Callithrix jacchus: one gene and its partners. The main gene of each other region encodes a partner of the protein of the gene in region 3 in a complex. Links are inferred from orthologs where the notes say so. Each region holds a gene or a part of one and is shown on either strand. Other genes may lie near its edges.

Region 1 (10,084 bases), on a different chromosome or scaffold from region 3:
ATGTTTGGCACATGCCTATAGTCTCAGTTTCTCAGGAGGCTAAAGTGGGAAGAGCCTGGGAAGTCAACGCTACAGTGTGTGGTAACTTCACCACTGCACACCAGCCTAGGTGACAAAGTGAGACCCTATCTCAAAAGCAAACAAACAAAACCCAAAAAACGAAACACTTGAAATTAAAATAATAATAAAGAAAATATAAGCTTAATTATTTTACAGTTAGTTTCAACAGACATAAATATCATCAAGTTTCTACAAAACTTTCTAAACAATGTTGTCTATGTCCATACATATCTCATTAAATATTGGTAGCACATTGTTTGAAACCAGCACTGGTTTAAGACCTACACTTTGGTTATTGCAGGTTTACTCATCCATTCCTCAAATGGAAGGTTTATGCCTTCCATTTGAGATTGGTTTAAGGTAACAGGTCTCAAATTCTGAACTCTTCTTTGTTGGGTATGCTAAATGCCCAACTTCCTGCAGAGTATTTAGCATACTAGCTCCAGCACACTAAAAGCCAGTGCCACCTCCTTTACCAGTTATTGTCCAAACCAACACCTTCCCTACCTCCTACCAACCAACGGGGGCGCATCAGTAACACCATCATCCTGAACCACTTGGGTGTGTGGGTTCTGACAGTTGCTCAGTAGTTTTTCGAGAATGCACTGTGGTTATCAGCCTGGGGAGGAATTGAGTCCTAGTACCCATTCAAGCAAACTAAGCAACTGTGGTCATGAAATTAAAGTGGAGGGTGGGAAAGAATCCTTGCCAAATTAAGCCTGTTATTTTTGTTTCCTACCTATTTCTTGAATTTTGAAAGGGGTGATAATGGGGAGAAAAAGTCAAATATTACCTCTGGGATGTTAGACAGAAACCAGTTGGTTGTTGAGATTTATATTACATCACAGCTAGTTTCTCTTTAACTCTTCTAACTCACTTTCTTCACCTAAAACCCTTTGTCTCATCCATTACTTACTGGGCCCCTTATCCATTCCCATATTCTTATACTCCTTGGTATGTCTCTTTTTGACCCCATTGGCACAGTGCAATGCTATATAGAACATAAGAAGGGGAGGAAAAAATAGCAGCAAAAGCTAGGTTGTAGAGAATTTTCTTCCCACCTTGGGCACTTAAGTAGAGGGGGATATTTATAAAGGATACATCGATCATTTCTCCCTTCCTTGGACTCATGCATTATGCCTTACAGCACTGGCATATAAGAAACTCATTACTTGTGCCACTTCAAGAATGCTCATGTTATCTGAACACAGGAGAGTTTTATAGTAGCTAGAAAGCAGCAGAAATACTTCTAAATCCTTCATTTAAGGGGAACTCAACATCCTTCATACTCCAAAGGTTTTCAGTCATCTTCCTGAAGATGAAGGAAAAGAGAGTAGAAATGTCTTCCTTAAGTGTCTGTTGGTGGGTCCAAAGGCAAGTTCCATTACAGCCTGGTTCATTTCCAGCTCTACTTAACTGAAGATTTAAACTTCTTCACATCTTTTGAGCTGTGAATTTGTAATACAAAAAGAAATCTTTTATTCTGGAAGCAGTTTGTCTCACTTATTTACCTCTACCTCCTCATCCAGCCAACATTCTAGATTGAACTGGCTTCTCAAGATTCTTCCATCTGGGAATAATTTTCAGTTCAACTGAACGTGGCAAGACTCTGAACTTAAAGTTCTAGTATTGGAGTGGCCACAGGGCTAGGTCTTGGGGTTGGGAAGTGAATGACGATGCTAAAGATATTTATCTCATAATGTCCGATGCTCTGGTCGTTTAGAATTCATGCTTCCTTTTCCTTTCCTCTCTCATTTTCCTTCCCAAACCAGGTTGTACACTTTGCAAGGTGTTAGGAAGTGGCTGGATTTGTGGATTTAAAAAAGTGATTCTAGAAAATAAGGAGAAAAGAAGGACAATGGGGTTAGCCCTAGCTACCTCTTTTTAAGTTTTGAAGCTCCAGTGGGAATTAATCAAAACTCCCTGTCATTTTAGGTTACATTATTTTTGAATTTTTTAAAAAACTGAGGGGGCAAAGTAAACACATTTAGGAACAGAATAGCTAGCTACTGTTACTGGTTGTTAATACTTCTCCCCTGGGGTTATTACTATTATTTTTTGTCTTTGTTAGAAAGGAATGTTCTAGTGAAGACTGGTTGCGTGTCTTTAATACTACAGAAAGATGATTTTCATGCTCTTATTCTTATACTGGCAAATTCAGTTGGTAAGATAAAGAATATATTTTCAAGTTTCAGTTGCATTACTCACTATTCCAGTTATTCCACTTGCTCTGGTTTCACAATTAAAGAAATATTGAAATGATGGATAGATAAGACAATAGTGGGGCCTGACCCTGACAACACATTCTTTAATGAACTTCAAGTGTTTCTAGAGTAAAATATACTCTTCCATTCCAGAACCATTAGTGAAACTCTTAGTTCAACCAGAGAATGGAAGGTTTATACATATTCCTTTGCCAACTCACAAAGGTGGGAGAACTACATGAAATCAGACACCTTTAATACCGACTTGGGATTTTAACTGTTGCAAATATCAGTGAAATTCTGAGCACCACGACTTGAGAACTGGAAATCTTGGAGAGAGTTTAAAAAGCCACAATGATTATTAATAACCCTGACAAGTTGTAGAAATGGGCAGATAATTACAGGATGAACTTAATAGAAATACGGAGTAATTTAGAGGAAGTCAACTGCTATAAATATAAGTGAGAAGACTTGATTTTGTGGGAAAAGGTGGGAATCAGTAAACCACAAGTAAAACATAAATCAGCTATATAGTACAGTTGCTTTATTATTATTATTATTAAAAAAAACTTTGTAGAGTACATTAAAGGAGACTGTACTTAAGGGAAAGGCAGTTATCCTTTAGTCATTTATACAATTATTTATTAAGCACTTATCATGTGCCAGTTGGTACTTCTGGGTGCTGGAATAAAATAAGGAAAAAAAAAAAATCAAGATCTTTCTTCCCGAAGCTCACTAAAGTGTGGTAAATGACAGAGCAAGTACTTTCAATGGTCTTTAGTTTGCATTCTGCAGCCAACTGAATACAGCAAATACTAAAAGCTACTTGAGGTAGGGATCCATCCTATTTTTACCTGTTGGATCCCATTCCGTGCCTAGCACACCAGCTTGTAAGCAGTCAACATGGATTAAGGAGTAAAAGCAGGCCCTAAAAGAGCTTAAAATTTGAACATGTAAACACTTGTCTGATCATTAAATATGTCGATCGAAATTCCCAGTTTTTTTCTTCAAAGCGCAGTAAACAAGTATTTGTGCCCCTATTACGTACAAAACAGTTGTCAACACAATTCTTTGTGTGTAAAAGGAACGGTGGGAATGAATTCAAGTTGGGCATCGTGATAAATGGCGTGAATACCCTGACCGGGTGGACAGCCCTTCCTCCGTGTTTTTTTTGCTCTTCTAGTCACCAAGAGAGCACGCGTGTGCAAAAACCGCAGCGGTGGGATGCACAGCTAAATCTGGGGGCTCAGACACCAGCTCGCGGATTGCGAGCTCGCCTGGGCAGCTCGGCGGGCGCGGCGAAAATAGCTCCCACGGCCGGCTTCCACCGATTCCTCGGTCTCCGAGAGGACGACGCGTCCCCGCCAGAGGAAAGACTGGGCGCCACAGACGCCCCTCGGAGAAGCACCGGCCACTCGCCCCACCTCGGGGTCCTGTTGCTTTTGGGCTTCCCCTGACCCTTCGCGTGGGCGCTCCAGAGACGTCAGTGGGAACGCGATTTGCAAACGGGGCGCGCCCGGCCACAGCCCAAGCACAGCTCAGAGACTTTGAGGCGCCCGCGCCCCTTTGTCGCGGGATCTCTCGCCCAAGCAGGCCGGACGCCGAGGCCTCGCGGTATCAAGCCTCCGTCCGCCCCGCCTCCTCTCCCTCCACTCGGCCCCGCCCTCGCTCTCTCACCCCTCCCCCGCTCCCGCCTCGCTTCCCCGACAATCTCCTCGCGCTCCCGGCCCGGCACGCGCGCTGCGCCGGGCCGCCGCTGCAGCCGCCGCCGCCGCCGCTGCCGCCGAGCGTTCCTCCGCTGCGCGGGGCTTCCAGCTTCGGGCCGGAACCGGAAGTGTGGGGGGCGGAGCCCGGCGGAGGCCAGGAGACCGAAAACGCGGCCGAGTCCGGAGCCCGGAGCCGGAGCCGGAGCCAGAGCCTGGACCAGAACTTGGCCGCCGCCTGCACCGCCGCTGCCGCCGCTGCCGCCCGCCGCCCCTTCCCCGCACCGCAGCCGCCTTGACCGCCACCGCCGCGAGCTTGGCCGCCAATGGTCCTGAGACATTAGGTGTCCGGGTTGAAGGTCGGTCCGGACGTCGGACCCAGTCGGTTCCCAGACTGTCCGGGCGGCAGCGGACGCCGCCGCCGCCGCCGCCTCCTCGTCGCCTCAGCCTGGCGTTTTGTTTCGAGAGACCGGAGAGGCGAGCGGAGCTGACAGTGATTTTGACAGTGATTTAAACCCGCTTTTGTTGTTGTTGGCTTTTCGTTGTTTGGTTTTGTGTGTTGTGCGTGTGTGTGGCGGTTTTTCCCCCGTGGTGCATTTTATTTTTTATTGTTGTGCTCTTTTTTCTTTTTTTGTTTTTTAAACCCAGTGAACGTTTTTTTTTTTTTTTTTGGTCTGGGCTCCCGAATATGTTTTATGACGGTTGATTTTACACCAGGAGGTTTGTCTCCGAGGAAGACCCAGGGAACTGGATATCTAGCGAGAACTTCCTCCGGATTCCCCGGCGTCTCGGGAAAATGGGAGCTGCTGCAAAGTTGGCGTTTGCCGTCTTTCTTATCTCCTGTTCTTCAGGTAGGTGCAGGGAGCGCGGCGCGGCGGGGCTGCTCCTGCGGCCGCGGCGGCCGCTGCTGGGGGCCGCGGCTGGTGTCGGGTCGGAGAGTCCAGTGGAGCCTGGGGAGGTTGCCCACACCCCGCGCCCCTCGGCTGCCACCCCCCAGGTCTGATTGTGATCTGGGAACCTCCATGCATTTTTCTCCTTTTGAGTTGGGTTGGCGTGATAAGAGTGAGTGCTGTGTTGTTGTGGAAGTGAGAAAGTCATGTTTTGTGGCCATAACACTAGATGACAAGGCTGGTTGGGTTGCAATTAAGCCGCAAATACCACAAGTGGCAATTTATGCAAAGGTTGAGACCCGAAAGGAGTATTTAGTGTGGGCTCCCCTAAAACCAGGGTTGCTTTTTGTCATCTTTTAATTGGTGCTTCACCCGTGAATATCACGACATAGATCAAGTCAGTTGCTGCTTAATTTTGGCTGTGAGAAGCAGTACATCCTTTCAGTAGATTAATCTGGGTCTCCCCTCACGTTTTCTTCAACTTCAGTGTCCAGCAGTGTTAAAAATAGTTGTAGTTGTTGTTGGAGTATTAACTATAACCCACTGCAGAAGAGGTATGCCGCTTGGGGTTGGTAATGTGCTGGTGTTCAACCACCATTTGTGTGCTCTTTGGGGGCATAGATTTTGCTTACCTACGGAATACTTATTTTAAACGCTTTGTATTGAAGCGTTGTTTTCGGTTTAGAACAACCCATGTGAAATTGTTTCTGTTGAATATAATAGACTCATAAAATAGGTTTTAGCTAAAGGTTGGGGGAATAATCTGGCCATTTCATATTGGAAATTTCGATTTTGTGAGAACGTTCTGTGGTTGCAACCAGTGGTTGGAAAAACTATCTAGTCTTTTGTATTTGAAATTCTATAAATGTATACATCATTAGCTCAGAGGTGTGCAGATGTACACAACAGGAGACTTAGTTCAATAGATGAAACATTTTAAAAGTCTCATTGGATCTATTTATCGTAAAATTTAATATTCAGTTACCAGCTTGTGGCATAGAATTACTGGGGACGGGTGGGGGGGGCAAATTGACAGGTTTCATGGCCATGTCTTTATCTCGTTTGCCATAGGAAAATTAAAGGGTGGTAGTCTTCTTTGTGTACCTCTATGGGGTGTGTGTGTGTGTATGTGTGTTTGTGTCCATCTTCCCCAACCCCCTTTAAATAGAATCTTTTGTAATGTATAGAATTTTGCTGAATGGTACATTTCCTTGTGGTTAATAAATGGATAAAGTCTAGTCTTATGTCTGTAGTGGTATTGATCAGTTCCGGGTGGGCTGAATGTGTTGTGAAATGGCGATCATTGCCAGAGATTAACCAAAAGAATCATGTCTGTTTAAATGGAAGAAGGAACATGCTTAAGGCAGGCTGACAGTTCTTTTTGTGCATGGTTTGGGGAGGAAGCTAAACAATGGTGTGTCTGAAATGAATGAAGGCCTTGATAACATTAAACCTCTTGCTCTTGTGACATGATTTAACCATGTAGTTTTTATCTTTCCAGTAGTACTCTTTTTTTTTTCCTGCTTCTATATGTTGTGGCTGGTGAACTCCTCTTGTTCAAATCCCTTGTTGTGATCTCTTGCCCTTGAGGAGGAGGGGCATCATGGCCACTGACCAAGGAATTGTGGACATTATTCCCTCCAAACCCACCTGAGTCACACTAATTGGTGAAGGAGGTTATTCTTGAGCAGTCTCAAGGTATTACTTCTGGAAAAGCAGGCTGTTGCTACAGATCTTACAGCTTCCTCTGCTTGGTTTGGTAGTAAAAATAACTGAGCATTAGTTTCTTGTGGGATTATTTCCATTGGGCCAGGATTGTTTTCAGTGGGCCAGGAGGTTAACAGCTATAGTTTTGAAATAAAGTAATTTTGTTGCTATAGGGCATATAGATAGTCCACTTATATTAAATTAATATTGTGTTGTTGCATAGGCTTTTTAAGATGAACATTCCCAGTTGAACAAAAATTTGTGGTTCTGTTGAAGATAATTGAAATCTTAAAGACCCTAATCCATATTTATACATGAAGAATTTGAGTACTTAAAATGTCTGATTTTTAAAAGGCTTTTGTTATGGATCAGATGCACTCTAAAAAAGGATTATTGTGTTTCTCCAACTAATTGATTTTTCTACAAAATGTGTAATCTGGCATATTGGAAACATGAGGTAACTATTTTTATGAGAATTTAAAAAGTTCTCAGTTTGTCTATTTTCATTTCTAGATATTTTATTTCATTTTTTAATCAAAATGGGAAACAATAGTAAGAACAGTTTTGTTCCAGGTGTTTAGGAGGAATGTTTACTATTTCGTGGACTCTAATTTTTCAAATTCTATCCCATGATATGTATTCTGGAGACTGATTATGCAGACTATTCCTGTAGGATATGGCCAAGTGTATAATTTCTTCCTCTTTCTCATTCCAGGGGAAGCATTTTAAATTTTGCCCTCATCCTTGAGTGCCTTCAGATTCTCTTTGATTTTGAATTTTTTCATTCCTCTCATACCTCCTTAGATTCTGTTTCAAAACATAAATCTTAGTTTTCTTTTTATAGCATTGTGGTTAATTTGTATCTTTCCCCACAGTTTGTTAAAGTATGAGAATGACTTTAGTACTTGCCTTAGTACTTAGGTTTATCCCATTTAGAGTGATGCAGCTATTGTGGTATTTGAGTTGCATTGAAGTAAGTTGAGAATTCCTTTGGATTTTGTGGGAGCTGCAGCAGTATGGTCAATCTATTTGATGAAATAGGAAATGGAAATATGGTAATCATGTTACATTTTCTTCAGTTTAGCTAGGCAATACTGTGTATGTGTGAATGTATGTGTGGTTGGAGGGAGAGCTGGCAGTACAGATAATCTTTTGAACTTTGGCTAACAAGTGATGGATGTTAACACTTTGTTTTCTAAAAGGCAGAATCTCTTATAAATGCTGTTTGCGGTCAAATTCAAATATATACATTTGAAACATGGAGACCAGAAAAAAAATGAAACAAAGTTCTCCTGCCATTCATTTTGTATTATTTTTTTTCCTATTTGTGATCTAAGCCAGTAGTTCTTAGGCTGGGGTGATTTCCCCCTCCCTAACTCCCCAAATCCCCATCCATGGGACATTTTGAGACATTTTTGGTTGTCACAACAGGGGCGGGGTGTGCTACTGGCATCTAGTTGGGTAGAGGGCAGGAATGCTGCTAATTGTCCTACAATGCACTGTACAGCCTTCCACAACAAAGAGTTTTCTGGCTTAATATGTCAGTAGTGTAGAGGTAAAAAAAAAAAAAATCCTATTCTAAGAAAACCATATACTACATGTTCTCACTTATAAGTAGGAGCCAATTGATGAGAAAATATGAAAACCAAGAACAGACAATGGGGTCTACTTGAGGATGGAGGGTGGGAGGAGTGAGGTGAGCAGAAAAGACAACTATTGGGTACTGGACTTAATACCTGGGTGAAGAAATCTGTACAGTAAACCCCCATGATATGAGTTTACCTATGTAACGGACCTTCACACCTACCCCTGAACTTAAAATACAAAAAAAAAAAAGGAACAACTCAGTTCTTAACTCTTAATATTTAAAAGCATTAGTTTATTATTAAAAGGGCTCTGCTCTCTTCCCCCTAAAGTTTGTAATCTGTGTTTTACAAGTGCATGGTATTGATGATCTCCCGGTGACCTTGTATTGAAAGTTTTTATCTTTTCATTATCTTTTAAAATTAGAATATGATTAAATTGGAGAAACAAACTATAGATATGCACATCTTTCGTCCTATTATTCTATAATAAAAATATTTTGATGAGTTATGGATAAACTCTCCTCTCACCTATTTTGATAGAGTGCTCATGAAGACTGAATGTTCATGGACATGATGTATGATTGGTTAAGGTATCAAGTTTAATTATATTTGCTTTAGAGCCAGGATTTTCTTTGCTGTGATATTATCTTTAAGGATATTTGTGTTTATTCTTAGTGACATCATTGGGCTGCCTTGTGGTGGTATGTGTGTGTGTTTAACATGTTGCCGGAAATATGTTCACGATTACATGTTCTCTGAATGGTTTCAAGGTAGAAATTCTGTTTTTTAAAAAAATGTATATTCCTTTTGTCTAACTTTAATTTCAAGGAACTTTAACCTAATCTCTTAGTTACATAATTTTCTTGAGAATCATTAGCTGGGTTTGGTTACCATTAGACTAATTTATGATACAGTAAGTAATATTTTATGATCTATTGCAGATCCTTTCCCTTTTTAAGGTTAAATCTTGACCATAATTAATAAAATAGCTACCTTGTTTTGAACTCTGGTTTTAAGGAAGTTAACCCAGCCAACCAAGATAAGAATTACAGTGAAACTCTTAGCAAATTAAGTAGCACTATACCATAGAGAGGAAAATTCTGAAGTCATTCCCACAAATGGTATCCAAATGAGCCTCATACTGTCTCTGTAACACACGTCTCCATATCCTTCTCTCTGATACTGACGTTTTCACCTTTTGGGTCCACCAGATTCACTGCTCTTAAGAAATGAAGAACAACTAAACCAAATGAGATTTCAGTACTCTCTAAATTGTTTCTTTAGATTCTAAGACTATTTTGTTGCATTTTGACTTTTTAAAGTGCTACTCTGATTTTCTCATCTTTGATATCTACTAAGTCTGTGATTTAAATTGGTCTTTTCATGGTCTGTTACGTTGCCACTTGCTGTATTGTCTCAGATTATAGGTAAGGTTGGCAACATTTGATACTAGGGTCACTGGTATGCCCTCAGTTTTTGCTTTTTTCTCTGTAACTCCTCATTTTTTCCATTCTCTTTCATTATAATTCCCTTTCCATTTTCCTCCCTTCTCTGTCTATTCTCTTTTCTTTCCTTGACCCTTCTGTTGTACTTCTCTATACTGCTTGCTTGTGGAACCCAGTCATTGCTTAGCATCATGGGTGGCTCAAGAGGGCTTACCCATGGTTTTGAATGAAAACAGATTGAATCTAGAATGCTTGAGAATTGGACAGATAGTCTTTTCTACTGTTGTTCTTTTATTTGCTGGTTTCTGGACTACCACACACACCCGCTTCGGAGTAGTGTTACTCTCTTGGAATCAAATGGCTTAAACTTCATGTTACTCTTATTCCTTTTTAATATTGAAGTTTTCCTTAACTCTTTGCTGCTTCAGAATAAGTTTCTTTTTTCTTATTCATTTGTCTCTGTTTAAACCAAAATTTGACTAGACCCGA
Region 2 (10,043 bases), on a different chromosome or scaffold from region 3:
AGGGTGTCCTTGGCTATGGTGATGAGCTTGCAACAAGGACGGCTAAAAAGGTGTTTTCAAAGAGGAAATATTAGATTTGGTATATTGCAGGAAAGAACCCACGTCTACAGTCTGTTCCTTCTGTGGTTAGTGACAGGCCATATGCCACTCCTACAAAGGGGTTGCTGGACCTCAGATCCCTTTATCTTTCAAACTCCAATGAAGTGGGTTGTAACTGACGTCACTCTGGAGCTTCTACTGCCCTGGCCAGGTAATTTCAGAGATAGCTACATTCCTCAGCAAAGGTATCATACACATTTTTACTCAAAAGTCCAAGTAACTTATTGCATCATCAGGAATTAAAACCACTGGCTTTTTCAAATTTTTTTATTTTTTCACTCATCATTTATTTACAAATACACATTATAACTTTTATATACATTGCACATTTACATGGTAGAAAAGTACAAAACTATATATTTAAATGAATTTATATTTTAACTTGCCATGTTTGAAAATATAAAATTGCATCAGAAAAAAGTATTATGAAAAGCAAGAAACTTGAACTGATAAAGCTTTGATATAACTTTTAGTGACATATTGTTTGAAAAAGAACTAATTAAAAAGGTACAGCTGAGTAGCTTGAAGGAAACGCCTAACAAAAGGTTGAATGTGTAGCCTTCACCATCCTTCAGTCTCCTGACACCCACATCATTTCTTTGGATCTGTAACATCTTGGAAGTACATTGCTAGAGTTCTAATCATCTCCTCTGTCACAAATGTCTTCATCATAACAAAAGAACTGAAGCAGGAGTTTCCTCAAAGATGCTTATCCTCTGTACCTTGTATTTGAGTCAGAGTTATAATGCCTTTTGGTCAGTCAAGGTTCCTTGTAAACAAAACCCGAGGGATCATGTATGTACAGATCAGGCAGCAGAGAATCCAATAAATAAACATGACAGAAACTGACATGCAAGTTTGCTAAAAGTGGAAAAGAGTCTAACAGTGAAATGAAGGGAGACAGAGGAGTGAGTGAATAGTAAGGAATGGACTTAAATGGTTTACAAGGAAAAAAAAGCTTTTACTTTATAAGCAAGAGACCTTACAATAAATAACAACTGCTCTTCCTTTCACGAATAAATTTCTTCAAAAACAAGGTATACAGTCAACCAGACATTTTATGTATAAATTATAAAACATGACACAGTATAAATAAATGTCTACAAGTCTCAACTATGGGCCTCATCCAGTAGACCTCACAAAGAATGCCTCTCCGTGTCCAATGAGTAACAAGGTGGCCTGGGAGAGAGCTTTAGGACAAAGGTCCTTTAATGTATAGTTTTCCCCCCAAATAAATAAGCATACACTTATTTACAGTATAGACAATATATTTTTCTTTTGTTCTTTTTCTTGCTTTTTTCTTTCTTTTTTTTGCCCAAAGGCTATGCCAACACTGAACACTTGTAGAGAGTTTACCACTCTAGAATAGAAGATATAGGAAAGCTGTAGTCCTGGTCTTCATCTTCCTCCTCTTCCTCGGGGTCTTCCGAAATGGCTAGATGGGGGAATACAGGGGAGCTGTTGTTTAAATATGGACAACAACAGCGCAGAAGCAGCTCAGTGTAAGTGTTCAAAGCCCTCTGATACAGCCATATTACAGCGTTGCATTTTTATGTGACTTGCAGTGAGATGCTTTTTTTGTTTTTGGCATCTGCTGTTAAGCAATAAGTTAAAAAAATTTTTTTAAACATAATCTATGAAGTCAAAAACTGCAGAAAGTTCTGAAGAATCAATGGCTCAGGTTTTACAGGCAGATTCCTGAAATTAGATAAAAAGCGCTCTTGTGTTCTAGGTATAACTGCTTTGAGTCCTTAATTCAGAGTAGAGGCAACTGCGAAAAAGCAGCAACCCATGTGTGATAACATGAAGCTGTCTTTGGAAAAAAACAAAAAACAAAAAACGTTTGAAGCAGTTAGTTTAGATTCAAATGTTAGTAAAGCAAACAGCAAAGCACACTACCAAAGCAAAAGAAATAGGGGTGAACAACTGGAAATGGATTTTTAGAGGCAGCCCATTGATGATCACTGGATAAGTCCTAAAAGCCAAGAAACGTTGCAGATAATTTTTCTGTGGATTACTGAATTGCTGGTGATACTCAGCAGCTATTTAACTTGAACAGAAATGGATTTTGTGGGAGATCTGCTTGCTTTCTAAGTGCCCATTCCCTAGGGGTTGCCCGGGAAAGCCTTAAATGGCAGCAAGGTTAAAAATCGCACTTACAGTTGCAAGATCCGGAGTGCTTTACTTCCAGCAGCACACCTGAGGAGCAGGCAGCTTCCTTCATAGCACACTCACTGGCATAAGTGGCATTGTCACTGGCACAGACAGGCTCATCCGACTTACTGTCAGGGCACTGCTCATCACAGAGGGAACACCGGCCTCTCCCAACCTTGAAATCCCATAAACATTTTTTCCCACCAGTGCACTGGATATCTTCACAGGACTTTGCTTCTAGGATACAATACATTTGTGATGAGTAAACTGACTTCCCCATATCCCCCTTTTCTCCCTTTCTCCTAAACATAATTTCTATGTTATTACAGATGGGCTAATGGAGCTTTTACGCAAAAATGCTGGATAATAAAACTGAAACTCAAATGCACACACACACATACACACACAAAAATCCCCTGCAGTTTCTTACATACTACATTAGTGTATGAAAATAGTATTTTTTTTGGAACAAGATGTTACAATATTCTTGAGTTAAATATGTATCTTATTATTTCCCACAAGTGGGATATTTTGCAAAAGAAAGAATTCCATCAATTACTAGAATCTGATAACAGATTTCAGGAATTGCTAAGTAATTATTTTTCGCTTCCAGCAAGTCTGGCACTTAAAAAAATGTGTAAAATTGAGTGAGTTCTAAGTTTTCTAAGATGAAATACTGTTTTTTGCTTCCTGCTGGCATTTAAATATATGTCAATGCCTCCAGAAGAACGGTTTCCATGAGGAATGCTGTGGTCACAACAGTTTCCCCAAATTGCAGCGTGTTTCTCCCTATGGTGTCTGGGGATGGCTTGGGCTTTACTTATTAGTTAACCCCACAGTTTAACACCAGAACTAGCCTGTTTTCACTTTTTCTTTCCTCAATCCAGAATACCTACTGATACACTTTCCCTCATAGGCTAATCCAATAGATCTGCCCAGCAGGCAGGTAGCCTTTCTCAGGTGGCAGGCACTGGAGTAGGTGACTCCATCATTCCCACAGATATATTGCTCAGAGGAAGTGGGCTCTGGGCAAATCCGATTACAGGTCACACAGTAGGCATTATTGGTCTGGTCCACCACACACGTGGAGCTGCCTGGACAGAAAACATCCCGACAGGTCTCTGGAACAAAGAAGGAAACACACATGAAAAGGTACCGTCTAGTCGTTAGGGAATGAGCACTTGAAGTTACTAAGGAAATCATGACACTGAAGCATCCAGCTTTCCAAAGGCATTTTGGGAGCCCTGTGGTTTTCAATAGAGAATCTATGACTCTAGGTTAAGAACATTAACGCCCTCAGCGTTCTTAATGAGTCTTGAGAAGTTAGAAAAGGACTCCTTTATTTGGTTTCAGTCTTATTATTATCAGGCTCTTACTGTGGACTACACTATCCCCCAGGGGTCTGCTAGAGGGTCTACTTTAGGTACAAAGCTGGAGGAGGGGCACAGATCCAGTCTTGCTCAACAGGGGAGGACCTACTTTTACATCTGCCTTGGTACTGGACTTCCAGTTCTGGCTGATCTTTACATCTCGCCTTTAAGAGCGCACATTCACTGCGGTAGGTTTTCCCATCCAGCCCGCAGACTGGACCCTTCCAGGTGATGTTGGAACAATCCGGGGCGCAGACGCAGCGCGGTTTGTTCTTCTTGTTCATTCGGCATTTTTTCCCGGGTCCACAGTCCACGTTCTCACACGTTTCTGTGAGTTGGAAACAGGAATGGATTAAAACCAGAGCCAGGCAGTCTGCAGGTCAGCCAGGAGGGCTTCGGGTGCCTTGCGCAATCCTGCAGCCCTGAGTTTGCGCTGGAGGGGCCCAGGCTCTCTCCTAGAAGATTGGGAGGTGGTGAAAGAGTGCGGACCTTGGGCTATGCCCCAAGCCCAGATCTCTCTCGTCAAGGAGCACGGGTTGGCGGGCTTCACCACCACACTTGGCTAAGAAGTCTGGGGTGTTTTGCCTACAGCTTTTAACATGCAGAATTCGAATTTGCAAGGGGAAGAAAGGGGAAGCCCATGAACAAAGCTCTCCAATCCCAAAGCCCAGCCAGGTAGCGGGGAAGCTGAAGGGGTATACGCCCTCTACTGAGGGCCTGCAAGTCGGGAGGGACTCCTACCTTTACAGGGGATGCAGTTGGGGGCGCCCCCATTGAAAATCATCCACTTGAAGAGTGTGTTGTCATTCACGTCCTCCTCGGTCCACGAGGTGCTCAGACGGCCGGTGCTGCAGCACTCCTCCTTGCTCAGTTCGGTCTTGTACAGAACCTGGCAGCGGCCATTCTTGGCTTGACGGAGCCAGCAGTTTCCAGCTGTGAAGAGACAGGGGTGGGGAGGTGGGTGAGTGAGCGGTGGCGGGGCAGGGGGAGGGGGTGGTTAGTAAAGGAGACCCGGCGGTGCGGACGGGAAGGGTGATCACGGAGGAGGGGAAGCGAGAGAGACGCTGGAGAAGCGGGGGGGAAAGTAGGAAATAAATCGAAAGGGGTGGAGGGGTGGGAAAAGAAGGTGGGGGGAAGCCCTGATCCCAAAGATGGGAGGTGGGCGAGAGGGAGGGAGGGAGAGAGGGAGAAGACAGAGCGCCCCAGCCATATCAATGTCAGTTACCAGTGACCCAGACACAACACGTGCAGCTTGCATTGACTTTTACTAGACTGTTTACTTTTATTCGTCCCATTTCATAACCTGCAGCGACTCGAAGAGCAGATTAAAGAACCTGACAAAAACAGGATGCGACGGATGTTTTTACATGTTGGTTTCATGTAGGCGGTACAGGAATTATTTGTGACAGGGGTTAAGAAAGTGGGAGAACGAGAGAGGGGAGAGAGAGACGAGACGGGGGGGCAGAGAGAGAGAGAGAGAGAGAGAGAGAGAGAGAGAGAGAGAGAGAGAGAGAGCAGATCAAGCAAAAGGCACTTGTGAAAAATGAAAGCAAAAAAAGCAACCCAGCCCAGCACGGAGCTACCCCGCGCGGCCTGGAGGCGCAGCCCGCCCGACGGGCCCGTTTTGCAATCCGCCAGACCCGGAGCACGCCTGCGGCCACCGCGATCTTTCGAAATCTCCGAGCGCTGCTTTCCTCCGCGCCCACGTCCAGGCACCAGGCAGCGCCTCTCCCCGAAAGGCGGGCAACCCAGCGCAGTGCCATGCAGACGGGGAGGGGCAGTGGCCAGGAGCGCAGTATACAACACACTTAAAATGTTAACGCTGAAGCAGGGAAAGTAATGCCTTAAAGGGGGCAGGTTTCCTACCATTTCACGGTTATACGTGCCTACTTCATACCTAGCAAGAAATCTTTGCAAGTGATTTATCCCTCTTCCCCCATTTTAAATGTTCGGATTTGGGCCGGGAAGACTTCTCACGAATCACCAATATGACTTTAACAATCATTGGACTGTAAACTGCTATTATTATTTTAAACATTCTGCCCAAAGACTAATTGAAATAAACAAATCTATTTTTTAAAGGCAAGCTTCAGAAATTTGCTGTTAGCCCATTTCAGAATTCAAGTCAGTTATGGGCTGCTCGCTGTTTTACAGAAGGCTAAGAGTCAGAAAGAAGAATGAGGCGGAGGGAAAAAAAACTAAAGTGCTGAAAGCACTTCGGGGTAATAATTTGGCTCCTTTTTTTTCTTTGCGGGGATGGGGGATGGGGTTGGAAGAAGCATCCACTAGGCAGAAAGCTACTTCCCTTGAAAAATTTCAGCACCCACATTTCCAAGTTTGGGCAAAGTTTCTGAAACCACGTCCCCCAGCCTCCGAAGAAAATTTCAGTATATCTCCCCCAACCCCCAGGTTCTCCCCCGCTTTTCTTAAAGTATTCGAAAGATCTGGGAAGGAGAGAAACTGCAAATGGGTCCACTGAAATCTCCAGGCTACTACTGATACTTGCTCCCTTAGTCAGACCCACAGAGGAGATCACATCTAAAGTTATCATGGCCAGAACTTGGAGCATCTAACCCTAACTACTCAGACCCCAGCTCGCTCCTTTTCCTTTTTCAAGATTACCGAGCTCCAAACTCCGTTCCCAGTCCTAAAGTGTCATTGCCTTCAATTTTCCCACTCCTCTCCATCCCGGAGTCCCCAAGTTGGTCCAACATCTTCCGAGAGCAGCGTTGCTCAGAACAGACCAAGTGGAGACCACAGAAAAGTCGACCCCCTTGCCCTCAGTCGAGCCTCCCCAGCGCATCCCCCCTCGCTTACCCTGGGCACTGCGGTCTTCCATGAACTGGCAAAGCAGCAGCAGCAGGAGGCAAAGCCCACCGGGCTGGTGCCTGGCGCGGACCATCCTGGGGGCAGGCGCAGGGCGAGTAGCGCGGCGGTGCCGGGAGCCGGCGCGGTGGCGGGTGGTTCGGGTGAGCGGCGCGCGTCGCAGAGGCCAGCGGCTGAGGGCGCAGCGATCCCGGCTCAACCCCGCGCTCGCCGCCCGCCGCCCGCGCGATTCAATGGACGTCAGAAGCCGGGCGCAGCCGCGCTTTAAATCTAGACGGGGGTCTCCGCGGTTTGCGGTGGGCGGTCTCCCAGTGTGTGGGGCAGTGGGAGGGCGGCCGCGAGCGAGGGTGTGCGCGGCTCCTTGGGGGTGGGGAGCTTTTAAAAGTTCAGTGTGAATCAGGTGACATTTCCCACCTTCTGGAAACCCTTCCCAATTATCTTTCGGAGGTGCCCGAAATCAAAACGACTGGAGGGGAATCGTCGAGTTCTTATTTGCGTAGGAGCGAGAGGGAGGGGGAAGGCGACCGGGGCGGGGGGTGGGGGCGACGCATCGGGGGTGGGGAGTGGGGAAGAACACCCACTTCAAGTTCTGCTCGCCGCCGCTCGCCGGCAGCGCCGGCGCGCCCGGGGTGGCGGGTGTGTGTGTGTGTGTGTGTGTGTGTGTGTCTGTGTGTGAGTGTGTGCGCGCGCGAGTGTGAGAGGGAGGGCGCGGTGGGGGCGTTGGAGGCGACGGCGGGGGGAGCTGGGGGAACCCGGGAGTTAGTCTCCGTGCTGGCGCTCCTCCGCTCCAGAGACTTTGCAAACGCCCGGAGAGCCCCGGGCTGCCCAAATATCCCGCCCCGGGTCTTGTCGGAGAGCGCCGGCCTCGGGGCAGTTCCCGGCCCCCGCAGCCTGGGCGCGGGGCCGGCGGGGTTTTGTGTCTGGGTCTGTGCGTGCCTGACTTTGCGGCCACCCCCAGCTCAGAGTTGTTGCTAGGAACCCCGGCCCCGGCACCTTCCACCCTGGCGGAGCGCTGCCCAGACGCGGCCCTTCGTCTGGGCGAGTCAGAAGCAAACAAAAATGTTTAACACCTCAGGCCCGGCCTCCCCCCGGCACAGTCTCGCCCTCTCCCTTTCTTTTCTCCCCTTTCACTTCGCAGCGTCTGGAGTCGGAGCCCGGAGCGGGGGCGCCGACGTAGGCGGTCTGGCCCCCCTTCCTCCCTTGCCCGGAGACTCCCCAGTTTCTGTCCTGTGTGCCTCTCTCAGTCTCCTCGGCTCCAGCCTCTCTCTCTCTCTCTCTCTCTCACTCTCTCTTTCTCTCTCTGTCGCTCTCTCTCTCGTCTTCTCTCTTTTCGCGGAATAAAAAAGATTGCAACATCCATAATGAACTTCTGTAGCCTCAGTTTATTAAGTACAGTGCCTGGCATTCTTTGCTGAAAGTTGGCGGGTCTCTCATTTATAACATTTTTTGGCACCGCTGAATGAAACTGAGGAGGCGATATTTCCTTTTATATAAAACGATTACTTCACGGAAAATGCTATATTGTTTATTCCAAAGCTGCCTCTTAAATGTCTGTTCTTTTCGCTTCTGAAGCCCGAAGGACAACAGACAGCGAAGTATGCAGACAAGATTCTTGGACATTCGCAGGTCACTGGGATTTGTTCTCCTACGGATTTCAAATCGGCCCTTCTTCCCCCTCCCGCCCCCTGCAACTCCCCTCCCTCTGCCAGACCCTCCCCCAGTCTTCCTCTCGCCCTCCCACCCCCCATCTTCCAGCAACCTTCCCCCCTCCACAACTGCAAATAACTCAGTGATAACAGATTTTTTTCCACCAACTGCAGGAGATAGTGCTAATCTTTTAATAAAAGATCCCATTACAATGGGATCTGTCTGGACAGACTATAATAGATCCCGAAATACAGCCGTGCTAATATTAGAAGACAGTTGTTTGGGTGCCTCTCAGACGGGCCCAAGCCCCCCTTTGAAAGTGGGCATGAATCACAAAGCCCCGCGGCCGCCGCACCTGCACCGCGCGCATTCGGTGCAGCAGGCTGGTAAAAACGGGTGACCTCGCCGCCGCTTTTCGCTTTATAATTACCGTCGTGAGGACGGGAGGGGAGGGGCTCGGGCGGCCCGGGGGAGGCTGGCTTTTTGCTCACTTCAGACGGCTGTGGGGGCTCCACATGCTTCTTAATCTTTCCAGAATCATGTTGTCTCTGTTTCTGTCTCGCTCTATGTCTCTCTCCCCTTCTTTCTTTCCCTCCCTTTCTCTCACCCATTCCCTCTGTTCTCTTTCCCCGACTCCTTTCCCTCTTCTTTCCTTCCCTCCTTCTACCCGGACTCTACCCAGACTCGCCCTCCCTTTTCCCCTTCTCTTTCTTTTCCCGTCTCCTTTTCTCTCTTCCCTCCAACTCATTAATGTAGAGTTGTTTAGTGCCCTCTAATGGCAGACGACATTAACAATTAATAGAAAACTGTCCCCTTTGCAGGAGCCGCCACTCAATGGCAGAGTTCCAAAGCTGAATTTATTTCTTCGTCTTTATTCAGAGAGATGGTATAGTGCTTATACAATGATGTGCTGGAGGAAAAGTTTGTTTTCTCTGCTTCAAGGTTCTCCCCACCTACACCAGGAAAAAGTTAAATGAAAGAGAAGTTAACACGTATTGTTACTTGACTTTTTCAAGCCCCCCCCACTTTTAATGGCAGCAAGAGACACAGCTTCTTTTTAAGTTAGGGCAAACAGTATATCCAAGATTGAAAATTAAACATCCCAAATACATAAAAGATCTTAAGATGGTAAGTGGTTGGATCTTATGGTGATGCTGTCAAATTCATTCATACATAATTACATGATTTTATGTTTGTCCCCAGTTTAAATATATTTATTGATCCTGAATTGGCCAGTAGCCTCTGGAAGCTGGGGTCTTTTTCTTAGACTTTCCACTCTAGGACTATCCAAAATATTTAAATTTTACTTATATGCCCAGTTGTATATGAAGTCATCTTGCCTGGAGAAATACAGAATCACATTTTAGTCCATATTTATTTTCTGAATATCTTTGGGAATATTGTTTTGAAGTTCATGATCTCATCATATTTTATAACCCTATAGCAAAGAGAACATGATATAACTTGCATGTTCTTTTTAGATTTTAATTTTGTTCATTCACATATGTACATATAACATGTTGATATAAAAGAGTCATACAAGTATACAAAAAGATTACCTTTTTGGGGGGAAGGTTATGTAGCTAAATGAAAATTAGAATAGAAGCAATTTGGAGGGGCTAATCAAAAAACTTGCATGTTTGAGCAAAACTATTTGGTTTATCCAGATAGTTATTTTAGTTTATGTGTATAGAAACAACTGATGTCACAAAAATTTTCTAAATTAATTTAAGTTGTAACCTCACAACTGCAGTATGATTGGGTGAAAGTTAAAATTTCCTTCCTATTTCATTTTTTGTCTGTGTAATGCCAAATACTCAGACCAGTCATTTGACTAAATTAACTGCATTGACTAGTTGTTTTGGCATCATGTAATTGTCTTGGCTAAGCCAAAGCAGACACAGTAGCTCTCATTGTAAAAAATGCCGCCACTCATAGGAGTCCCTC
Region 3 (9,455 bases):
CTCCCCTGATTTTGTTGCCTAGTTTTCCTGCCTTATCAACACTTTACACCAGTGACAAATGACGTGACTTCAAACAGGGAGGGAAAAGGTGGTTCTTTCTTTAATGCCTTTGGAGACACGGTGTACAACTTCTAAGGATGCGTTTGTTTCCTAACTGAGGGTGTGGAGAGAAATGGTGGAGACAGATGGGAAAAGAAGTTAATAGTGGTATGCGGCCTGTGCAGTTGGGATGCACTGGGCTGGGAGTGGTGGAGGTGCCAGGGTGGAAAGTCAGTTGTAATATTTAAAGAACTGCAGTAATACCTTCCCAGGCACTTTTCTTGAAAACATGTATTTGTCTTGGCCCCTCTTCTGCTAACAAATACTTGCACATGATCTCCTAGCTGTAGTTCGGAATTCTTCCTACTCGACTGGTTCCTAGGTCCAAAATCAGAAGTGCCAAAGTTCTCAGAAACTTTGGAAGAAGTCTCTGAAATGTTGTGGGTTGAACCTTAAGAATTTTTGCTGCTTGTAGGATCCTAAAACCCCTTTCTCCCGAAATATTTAACCTTTTTCATCACCATTTTAATGGAAGAGGCATGGATGATGGATGTTTGTGGCTGGCATTTATAAATCAATAATGGATCCTAAGAAGGGACATTAAAGCTAAAAAGTTAATCAAGATAATTTATGGCCAAACCTGTAGTTCTACTGCAGGAAAGATCCTCTACTGTAGGTCGAAGGCGGAATGACCTTAAGACCTCACTTGCTGCTTTCTGCACAAACCCCTGGAAGCAGTCCAAATGCAAAGTTAGAGCTTCAGAGAACGCACCCTGTAAGTGGTAGTTGTGTATACCCTTACCATTGACTATACCATATCTAGGCACAGTGAAATCTTGATGAAGAATGGAAAATTAAAGGAACAGACGCTTTTTACAGGGAGGCTTCCCCCATCCCCTACCCCATGGTAAGTTTAAATATGTTCTTTAAACAACAAGGCTTTCCACATTCACATTAGAGACATAATTATTGCCCATATGCAAAAGAGCAACATATTTTAAGCAGGACCCTGGTGAGGAAAACAAAACCAAATCGAAACACTGCATGTGTGTGTAGCTGATTTAATTGGAACTGTTCATACACTCACAGATCTGAGATGCTGGACTTCTGGATGAGCCCAGCATTTGCCACCTAGAGTAGGGGGAGGGAACAACAAGGGGCTTAGCTGCTTAACCCTAGGCATGCCTTGTGATTGGCTCTTTCAAAACATTTTTAAAATTCTGAAAGCAAATAAAAATGTGCTACAAACACCCTTCCGGGTATCTTTCCTCTCCCCTGTCCAATCCTTCCCACCCAGCAGCATTTCAAAGGTATTCCCTGTGAGGTACAAAATTTCTCTCTGCCCATTTTTCTGCACCTCTTTTTCTCTCTCTTTGGTATGTGTCCACCGAGCTCATAGAGGTTTAAGTGATGAAATATTATCACCCACATGGGTTTGCGTGGGACTTTCTTAGTGAATTACTCAGGCAGAGCAGGCTGTGATACAGCCTTGCTCACAAGCCTCGGGAGAGAAAAAATAGCACAGAGGCTGAAAAGAATATTATCAGAGAGTAGGTAATGAAAGGTTAGCAAAGCAACCAGCTATATCTGGCTAGCTAGGTAATAGTGAAGGAACCTAGGTCGCTCCTGTACAAACTAATGCAGAAACTGCTCACAGCGCATTATGGGAAGGCTTTTATTTCAAGATTTTACAGCATGAGATATTTAAGTGAAAGCTCAAACTGATTAGAAATTGATCCCCAACACCTCAGCCTTAGTCAACCTTCCCTTTTTCAAATTGTTACGCATGGAGACTGGAGGATTGGGGCACCTTGAAAATGTCACTGCACTATTGCAGTCTCTCTCAGGTAATATAAAGGGAATATAATAAATTGACCTGTTATTCATTATATTTTTCATACCTAGGACATTCCAGGGCTGTAATATATTTCTGAAGCCTGCAGCCCTGATAAACATCAATCCCATGTCAGTTTCCAGCAGTCTCACCTCCCCACCCCCTTCTGCAATGAAAGCTAATGTAAAAGAAAGAAATATGCACTGCTTAATAAGTCAGAATACAATAGAACTTGTAAAATGTACCTGCATACAAGGTAGACATTAGGAAGACTTGACTCTCTCTCTTCCCCCTGTTCTCCTGAGCATTATGGCAACAGCATTTTCATGAAATTAGATCTGTTTTTTTTTTCTTGATATATCATGCAATATACAAATAGCAGTTCCAGAAATGGACACCAGGAGAAGGAGGCGACAGGCATGTCAATTAGTAGGGGGAAAATCCAAATGTCAGAAATATGGGGGAGAGAGAAAGCACGCAGGCAGTGGATGCACATACAGGAAACAGAGTCTTTCAATTCATATAATTAAACGGATGCATAAATCAGCGCCCGCGCCCCTCCGCAATACTCAGGCAATGCCATGCAGTTAATTATCAGCCAAGACCAGCATGAAAGTCATTTTATGATGACTCTCTGATCCTAATATAACAGCACCTGACAGATTGAGCCCCCTCTAATGAGTACTCTCTTTGTACAATCCTCTCTCAGGAACACTAAATCATTTGCTTCCAAGTACAGCTGCCTGTGAAGAAGGGGTGGGGCTAGATCATGCCTTAGAAACCTGCTCTTGTGAAATGAGGGGCTGTCCTGTAGGCTGTGTGACTGGAAGCCAGCAGCCACAGCCTCTCCAGCCCCACAAAAGCAATTTGCACGCGGCTGCACTAATTCCAGTCAGCCAAGTAACCCTCCCTCGGCACCCCCACCCAAACATCTGTAGTCTGCCCTGGATGTTATTCATGGAAAGGTCGCTGCAGGCAGGTCAGCACTGCTGTCCATCAACCTTCACCCTGACCCCTTCTGGCAGGTGTGGTTGAGAGCAGAGCAGAGCCCATGGGGATGAGTTACCCAAAACCCAGTGAACCTCCCCATCTGGGCACTAGTCAGACACTCCAGTTTCACATTCTTTCCTAGAAAAACAAAGCCCAACCTTGTGCCCTCTGGCTTCTCTAATTTACCAGCTACTATCTCTCCGTTTTGGAGTGACACCCTGTGCAGTTTAGGGTTTCAGGAGCTGTCCTGCGTGGAGGCAGAAGGGAAAACAGCGGGTAGCTTGTTAACATTCTCCAAGGGGCAGGGCGGATGTGCCCACGCTGGAGGTAACCTGCACACCCTCCGGGCCAGTTATCTGAGGCTTGGGAGGTTCCCCTCAGCCTTCTCCTACGGCCTTGGCAGGACCTTGCCACCTTAAAATCAACTGCTGATAGTCTTTTTAGATTTAAATAATTAAACTCTGCTTCTGGAAATCTCTTTTACTTTATTAAAAAACAAACAACAACAACGAACCCCCCACCAATTCTTAGCAAAAGGGAATATGGAATTCAGATTTTGAAAAAATAAGTCATCATGCTTCCTAAAATAAGACCGCTTCTCCCTCTAACTGCTCCCTGCTCTGGTATTCTATCTAATCTTAAACCCAACTTTATTATTCATTTCAACTCCTGCCAAAGACATGAGGTCGGAGTCAGAGGAACTCCCCTTACCACCACCACCATCATCATGGCCAGCATCCTCGTACGTTTATAGAAAGATGCCAGAGAACCTTTCATATCCATCTGCAGCCCTGCTTGTCCCTTGCCTCAGTGAATTTACCACTATCATAATCACAGTGTGCAGAGTGTGTTAAATTAAGAACAGAATCTACAGTACGCAATGCACAGAAAAGCCTGCCTTCTGCTGCAGAGAACTTGAAACTGTGCCTAAAATTTATAGTACCGTAAACATCTCAGGGCCTCGAGTGATAAGTATGGCTGGATTTCCGTTAACTATAGAAATCCAGGCAGGGAGATCCTCCCAGGGAGTTGCGAGTTCTAAGATGAACTTCTTAAAGATTGTTCCCAGATTTGTGCATGGGATATATGTACAGCGGACAGTTGTAAGGAGGTCCATGGTCATGGGAAAGAGGATGTGTTTCTATATGCCACCAAGGTGGGGAAAATGGAAGTGAGGGAAAATATCTGATTAATCAAAAAATTCTCATTTGAAAACCTGCTTTTATAGTAAATGCTGCTGCATGATTAAACATGCAGGTGCTTAGGAAAAGAGAAGGAAATAGGTGATTTCCTAATTTTAGAGTTAGACTAGAACTGCATGTTGCTAAGTTCAACTGCCCTGACAACGTGGGGACTTCCTGTGTATTAGCAGCGATTGCTATTTGACATAGGTTTCTGGTGCTCACTAAGCTGCACTCTAATGGGTCACAGGCAAAAACAGAGGATTCAGAGGTATGAGGTGGCTATCTTAATTTAATAGAACTCAAGGCTAAGGACTCCTCCATGAGTTAAATAAGTAATCAAGTCATTGCCTACTTTCTGCTAAACACTAGACTATGCTAGTGACCTTAGACCCTAGGCATTCTAAACCAGGCTGGCAGGAGGGTGGTGGTGGAGGAGATGTGAGGGAAGCCTCCTTGAGAAAGTGTCATGCAAGCGATCTGAAAATTGAAACAGTATTAAAGGCAGCCCTAAGGGTGGTATGCTGGAGTTTGAGGGGGGCAGGAGCACTTGAGGCAGGAGAGACAGCAGGTGTCACTGCCTGCAGGTGAGGGAGGTGTGGTTCTCAAGGCCTCAAGGGAATACTGTAGCTAGACCCCAGAGAACAGGACTGGGCAAGAGCTGGTTTTCAAGGTAGAAACAGCATGCGCACAGCCCAAAGTCCTGGGCAGTTTCTGTTAGATACTGAGAGCAATAGGAAGTCAGTAAAGGACTTTCAGGAAGAAGTGGTGTGATCAGATCCACCTGCAGGAAAGATCCTTTGAGCTGCTTATGGAGAAATGACTGGAGAGAAGGCCTGTCTCGGTCAAGCAGAAGCAAAGTAAAGAAAATGCTGCTGGTGACCCAGCAAAGAGGTGACTGGGGAGGAGTCAGGCTGTGACACGGGAAGAGGAGGCTGGCTCAGTGTGTCCCTCCTGCACAGACCTACACACTGAGGTGGGGCCAGGGGCTGCATTTTTGTCTGAGAACAGCATTTCCTTAGCTTTCTAGAGCTTGCACGGTCTTTTTGTTTCTATTATCTCATTTGATCTTCCTCAACCTGTGAGATAACAGGTCAAATGTCATTATGTCATTCCCATTTTATAGAAGACGAAACTGAGGTTAAGCAATTAGTCAACAGACACAGACCCTCAGGCCCTCTTCATTCTAAAGTAAGGGTCCAACAACTTTTTTCTGCAAAGGGCTGGAGAGTAACTAGTTTAGGCTTCATGAGCCAGTCTGTTGCAGCAACTCAGCTCTGGTTTATAGCGCAAAAGCAGCCGCAGGCAGCATGTACAGACATGAGCATAGTTGTGCTCCAGCAGAACTTTATGTACAGGCACTAACGTACAGAAGCAGTCACGGCTTGTGGGCTATTATTTGCTGACCCCTGTTGGAGAGGGTCTATCACAGAAGACTCCTGCTTGTCTGGAATTTGTGAATGCATGTTAAAGTTGGAATTAACAGGTGTCCCTGTTTTCTCTTATGCTGTCTTTCATAATTAGGCACAGCCAGGAAGACGCTGCACTTCGAGATTTCCAAGGAAGGCAGTGACCTGTCAGTGGTGGAGCGTGCAGAAGTCTGGCTCTTCCTGAAAGTCCCCAAGGCCAACAGAACCAGGACCAAAGTCACCATCCGTCTCTTCCAGCAGCAGAAGCACCCACAGGGCATCTTGGACACAGGGGAGGAGACCGAGGAAGTGGGCTTAAAGGGGGAGAGGAGTGAACTGTTGCTCTCTGAAAAAGTGGTAGACGCTCGGAAGAGCACCTGGCACGTCTTCCCTGTCTCCAGTAGCATCCAGCGGTTGTTGGACCAGGGCAAGAGCTCCCTGGACGTTCGGATTGCCTGTGAGCAGTGCCAGGAGAGTGGCGCCAACCTGGTGCTCCTGGGCAAGAAGAAGAAGAAAGAAGAGGAGGGGGAAGGGAAAAAGAAGGGTGGAGGTGAAGGTGGGGCAGGAGCAGATGAGGAGAAGGAGCAGTCGCACAGACCTTTCCTCATGCTGCAGGCCCGGCAGTCTGAAGACCACCCTCATCGCCGGCGTCGGCGGGGCTTAGAGTGTGACGGCAAGGTCAACATCTGCTGTAAGAAACAGTTCTTTGTCAGTTTCAAGGACATCGGCTGGAATGACTGGATCATTGCTCCCTCTGGCTATCATGCCAACTACTGCGAGGGTGAGTGCCCGAGCCATATAGCAGGCACATCCGGGTCCTCGCTGTCCTTCCACTCGACAGTCATCAACCACTACCGCATGCGGGGCCACAGCCCCTTTGCCAACCTCAAATCGTGCTGTGTGCCCACCAAGCTGAGACCCATGTCCATGTTGTACTATGATGATGGTCAAAACATCATCAAAAAGGACATTCAGAACATGATCGTGGAGGAGTGCGGGTGCTCGTAGAGTTGCCCAGCCCAGGGGGAAAGGGAGCAAGAGTTATCCAGAGAAGACAGTGGCAAAATGAAGAAATTTTTAAGGTTTCTGAGTTAACCAGAAAAATAGAAATTAAAAAAAAAACAAAAACAAAAACAAAAAAGTAAATTAAAAACAAAACCTGATGAAACAGATGAAGGAAGATATGGGAAAAAAATCCTTAGCCAGGGCTCAGAGATGAAGCAGTGAAAGAGACAGGAATTGGGAGGGGAAGGAAAAATGATGTACCCTTCATTTCTTCTAAAATCACACTGATGACATCAGTTGTTTAAAAGGGGTATTGTCCTTTCCCCCCCTTGCAGTTCCCTTGTGAGCCTTGAATCAACTAGTCCAGTCTGCAGTAGTGTGGACTAGAACAACCCAAATAGCATCTAGAAAGCCATGAGTTTGAAAGGGCCCATCACAGGCACTTTCCTACCCAATTACCCAGGTCATAAGGTATGTCTGTGTGACACTTATCTCTGTGTATATCAGCATACACACCATACACACACACACACACACACACACACACTAATCGTGTGCAGGTGGTCACACTTCCTTTTTCTGTACCACTTTTGCTACAAGACAAAACAAAACAAACAACATTAAAAAATTGAGAACAAGCATGGAAAGAATGAAAGATCATGGAAAAGAGAAACCAAGTTACATTTCGTTAAGGTGCTTATGATCTTAGAACTATGCAACCTAATAGGTTTGAAACTGTTTACCTGAGAGAGAACAAAAAGAGAGACTTTTTTTGTATTGGAAGTAATCTGATTAATTTTTATTTTCTTCAAGGAGAGATACTTGAAAGGAATATGTTTGTCCATCTGTTGGATCCAAACATTTCTATATTTTGTAAATGTTGTTGTTGTTTTTAATCGTTTACTATTTGCACTACAATGGTGTTTGACCTGTCTAATCCTTATTTAACAAGTATTTTCTTTGGGTGGGGGTGGGGGTGGGGTTTAAGAGCTGCACTTAATGTGAGCTATAAAAGAACTGCTACAGCACACAAAATAGCTATTTTTATTATTATAATTATAATTATTATTATTATTTTGTACCTTAAAAAATAGACACATACACCAAAGACATTTGTGTGAGCCTTTAAACAGTCTGTCTGTGGTTGGTATCATTTACCATCAATAAGTCAGGGGTTGGGAGTAGTGCGGATTGTGTTCAGGCTTAAAAGACCTGAGAAGTTTGGTTTTTGACTCCTTTTACATCCACGAAACAGGACATTTCATACTGCATGTACAGTAGTTGTACACTGTTGGATATCAAGTTCAATCAGCTTCATGGAGCTACATGCTTGTATGTGTATATATACATTGCTTGTGCATATGCATATCTGTGTGTATATATACATGTATTGTACCATGTCCATACACATTTTAAGCACTTCAGGCTGTCATTTTTTAATGTCCTTAAAGCAATGAATGTTTGTGTGCAAAACACAGTATTTTTAAGATGAATAGGCTATAGTTTTTGCTTTTACTCTGAACTAGGTGGGCACATTTAAAACATTTGGATGGGAAAAAGCCTGGAAATTCCAGCAAATATTCAGCAAGGCCCTCTTTCGATGTACAGGGATCAGACTGCCTCCTCTTTCTTGTCCCTTCTCCCACTTCTACAAGTTATCCCCTGTGGGGAAAACAGGATGATAAGAAAAGCTCTGGGCTGATATTTTTCCAACTTACTGTCTATTGGAATCAATCTTAAATCAGAAGATTTTTGAGAAAAAAATAATACTTAGGCCAGAATTAGAATTTAGTGCATTTTTAAAAAATGATTCAGGCTTGGTTGTGAGATATATTACCCATACCAGCTGGGTAAAGTAATGTTGTCACTAATTAAAAGAATTAATTGATGAGAAAGTGCTGAGAGAAAGAGAGAGAGAGAGAGAGAGAAAGAGAGAGAGAGAGAGAGAGAGAGAGAGAGTAAGGAAAAGAACAGTTAAGAGGAGGCAAAGACGAGGGCAAGTAGTGAAAACCTCTAATATTTTAATTTATAGCCAAAACTCTTCATGTGTAAATTTGTATTGATTCAGATGCAAAGAGGAAAAAAATAACTTTGTTTTATAAATATCAAAGTACGTGCTTAAAGCCACGTTTTTATCTAGTTTATTCTAGTACTTAGCTTGCCTAGAAGAGGTAATAAATTATTCATTTTTGTGCTTTTGAAAATACAGAGCCTTATTTTTACAGACTTGTGTGAAGTTGGCAAATATTTTGAAAAATGGAAAAAAAGTTTCTGATAATTGGGAACAATTATATTCATTAATATTTTGTAAACTATTGAAGCTTTTAGCCCCATGTCAATTTGTAGATTAAAAAATTATTATAGGAAAAGGTATCAGTGAGAAACGAAACATTACAAAAAGTGGTTTATCTCTTGTTGAAAAGTAGACTAAGTTGGTATACTGTAACGCTAGGCTATATGTAGGCAACGTCACTATTGGGCAAGTTCATTTACTATATTCTAGGGGCCACCCTTTCTTATGCAGAAAATATAATAGGCACTGCATGAGAAGATTGAGAATGGATTCTAATCGGGGTCCATTGACCTTGGATATCATGCATGTGGGAAGGTGGGTGTGGTGAGAAAAGTTTTAAGGCAAAAGTAGATGGCCATGTTCAGCTTTACAAAATTTCATGGAAAACTGGCAGCATTTTGAACCACGTCTTCTTCGGTACTGGAATCTGCAGAAACAGTGTGAGAAATTAAGTCCTAGTTCACTGTGCAGTAGCAGAGATGGCTAAGGCCATGGAAAAAGCAGAAATTTACAAAGACAGCTGATACCCATGTATAGTTCCCATTCATCTCAAATACATCTGCTATCTTTTTCAGCTAAGTCCTAGATATTTTGGGGTTAACATGGCGGTTGATTAGTGACCACAGTTATTAGAAGCAGAGAAATGTAATTCCATATTTTATTTGAAACTTATTCCATAAATTAACTGGATATTTAATGATTGG

Evidence for each region.
Region 1: the proteins of INHBA (region 3) and ACVR2A are in contact, whole or in part, in a crystal structure (PDB 7U5P), measured with the Homo sapiens proteins. The link is inferred for Callithrix jacchus from reciprocal best matches to the Homo sapiens genes INHBA and ACVR2A. Residues at the interface, in NP_002183.1 of Homo sapiens: Ile340, Ala341, Pro342, His346, Arg397, Pro398, Met399, Ser400, Met401, Leu402, Tyr404, Asn409, Ile410, Ile411, Lys412, Asp414, Glu421; in NP_001265508.1 of Homo sapiens: Asn36, Asp53, Lys56, Phe61, Thr63, Lys65, Val74, Lys75, Cys78, Trp79, Leu80, Asp81, Asp82, Ile83, Asn84, Val100, Phe102.
Region 2: the proteins of INHBA (region 3) and FST are in contact, whole or in part, in a crystal structure (PDB 2P6A), measured with the Homo sapiens proteins. The link is inferred for Callithrix jacchus from reciprocal best matches to the Homo sapiens genes INHBA and FST. Residues at the interface, in NP_002183.1 of Homo sapiens: Asp315, Phe327, Asp337, Trp338, Ile340, Ala341, Gly344, Tyr345, His346, Gly360, Thr361, Gly363, Phe368, Thr371, Arg397, Ser400, Leu402, Tyr404, Asp405, Asp406, Gly407, Gln408, Asn409, Ile410, Ile411, Lys412; in NP_037541.1 of Homo sapiens: Trp33, Arg35, Val44, Leu45, Arg60, Phe76, Met79, Asp135, Glu152, Pro154, Glu155, Val180, Val181, Asp182, Gln183, Tyr188, Val190, Arg221, Thr224, Cys225, Arg229, Ser230, Ile231, Gly232, Leu233, Glu328.

Annotation. Positions count from the first base shown.
Region 1 is NC_133507.1:82,528,230-82,538,313, reverse strand, and holds the start of ACVR2A (activin receptor type-2A), read left to right. Parts: upstream 1-4,100; 5' UTR 4,101-4,326; intron 4,327-4,651; exon of another isoform or gene 4,652-4,684; 5' UTR 4,685-4,763; coding exon 4,764-4,818; intron 4,819-10,084. UniProt on the Homo sapiens protein: On ligand binding, forms a receptor complex consisting of two type II and two type I transmembrane serine/threonine kinases.
Region 2 is NC_133503.1:156,368,054-156,378,096, forward strand, and holds FST (follistatin), read right to left. Parts: upstream 6,689-10,043; 5' UTR 6,526-6,688; coding exon 6,441-6,525; intron 4,557-6,440; coding exon 4,365-4,556; intron 3,952-4,364; coding exon 3,733-3,951; intron 3,375-3,732; coding exon 3,150-3,374; intron 2,491-3,149; coding exon 2,260-2,490; intron 1,798-2,259; coding exon of another isoform or gene 1,796-1,797; exon of another isoform or gene 1,535-1,795; coding exon 1,452-1,534; 3' UTR 1,350-1,451; downstream 1-1,349. UniProt on the Homo sapiens protein: Multifunctional regulatory protein whose primary function is to antagonize members of the transforming growth factor beta (TGF-beta) superfamily including activin, myostatin, GDF11 or bone morphogenetic proteins (BMPs).
Region 3 is NC_133512.1:9,932,134-9,941,588, reverse strand, and holds part of INHBA (inhibin beta A chain), read left to right. Parts: intron 1-2,118; exon of another isoform or gene 2,119-2,272; intron 2,273-5,568; coding exon 5,569-6,461; 3' UTR 6,462-9,455. UniProt on the Homo sapiens protein: Inhibins/activins are involved in regulating a number of diverse functions such as hypothalamic and pituitary hormone secretion, gonadal hormone secretion, germ cell development and maturation, erythroid differentiation, insulin secretion, nerve cell survival, embryonic axial development or bone growth, depending on their subunit composition.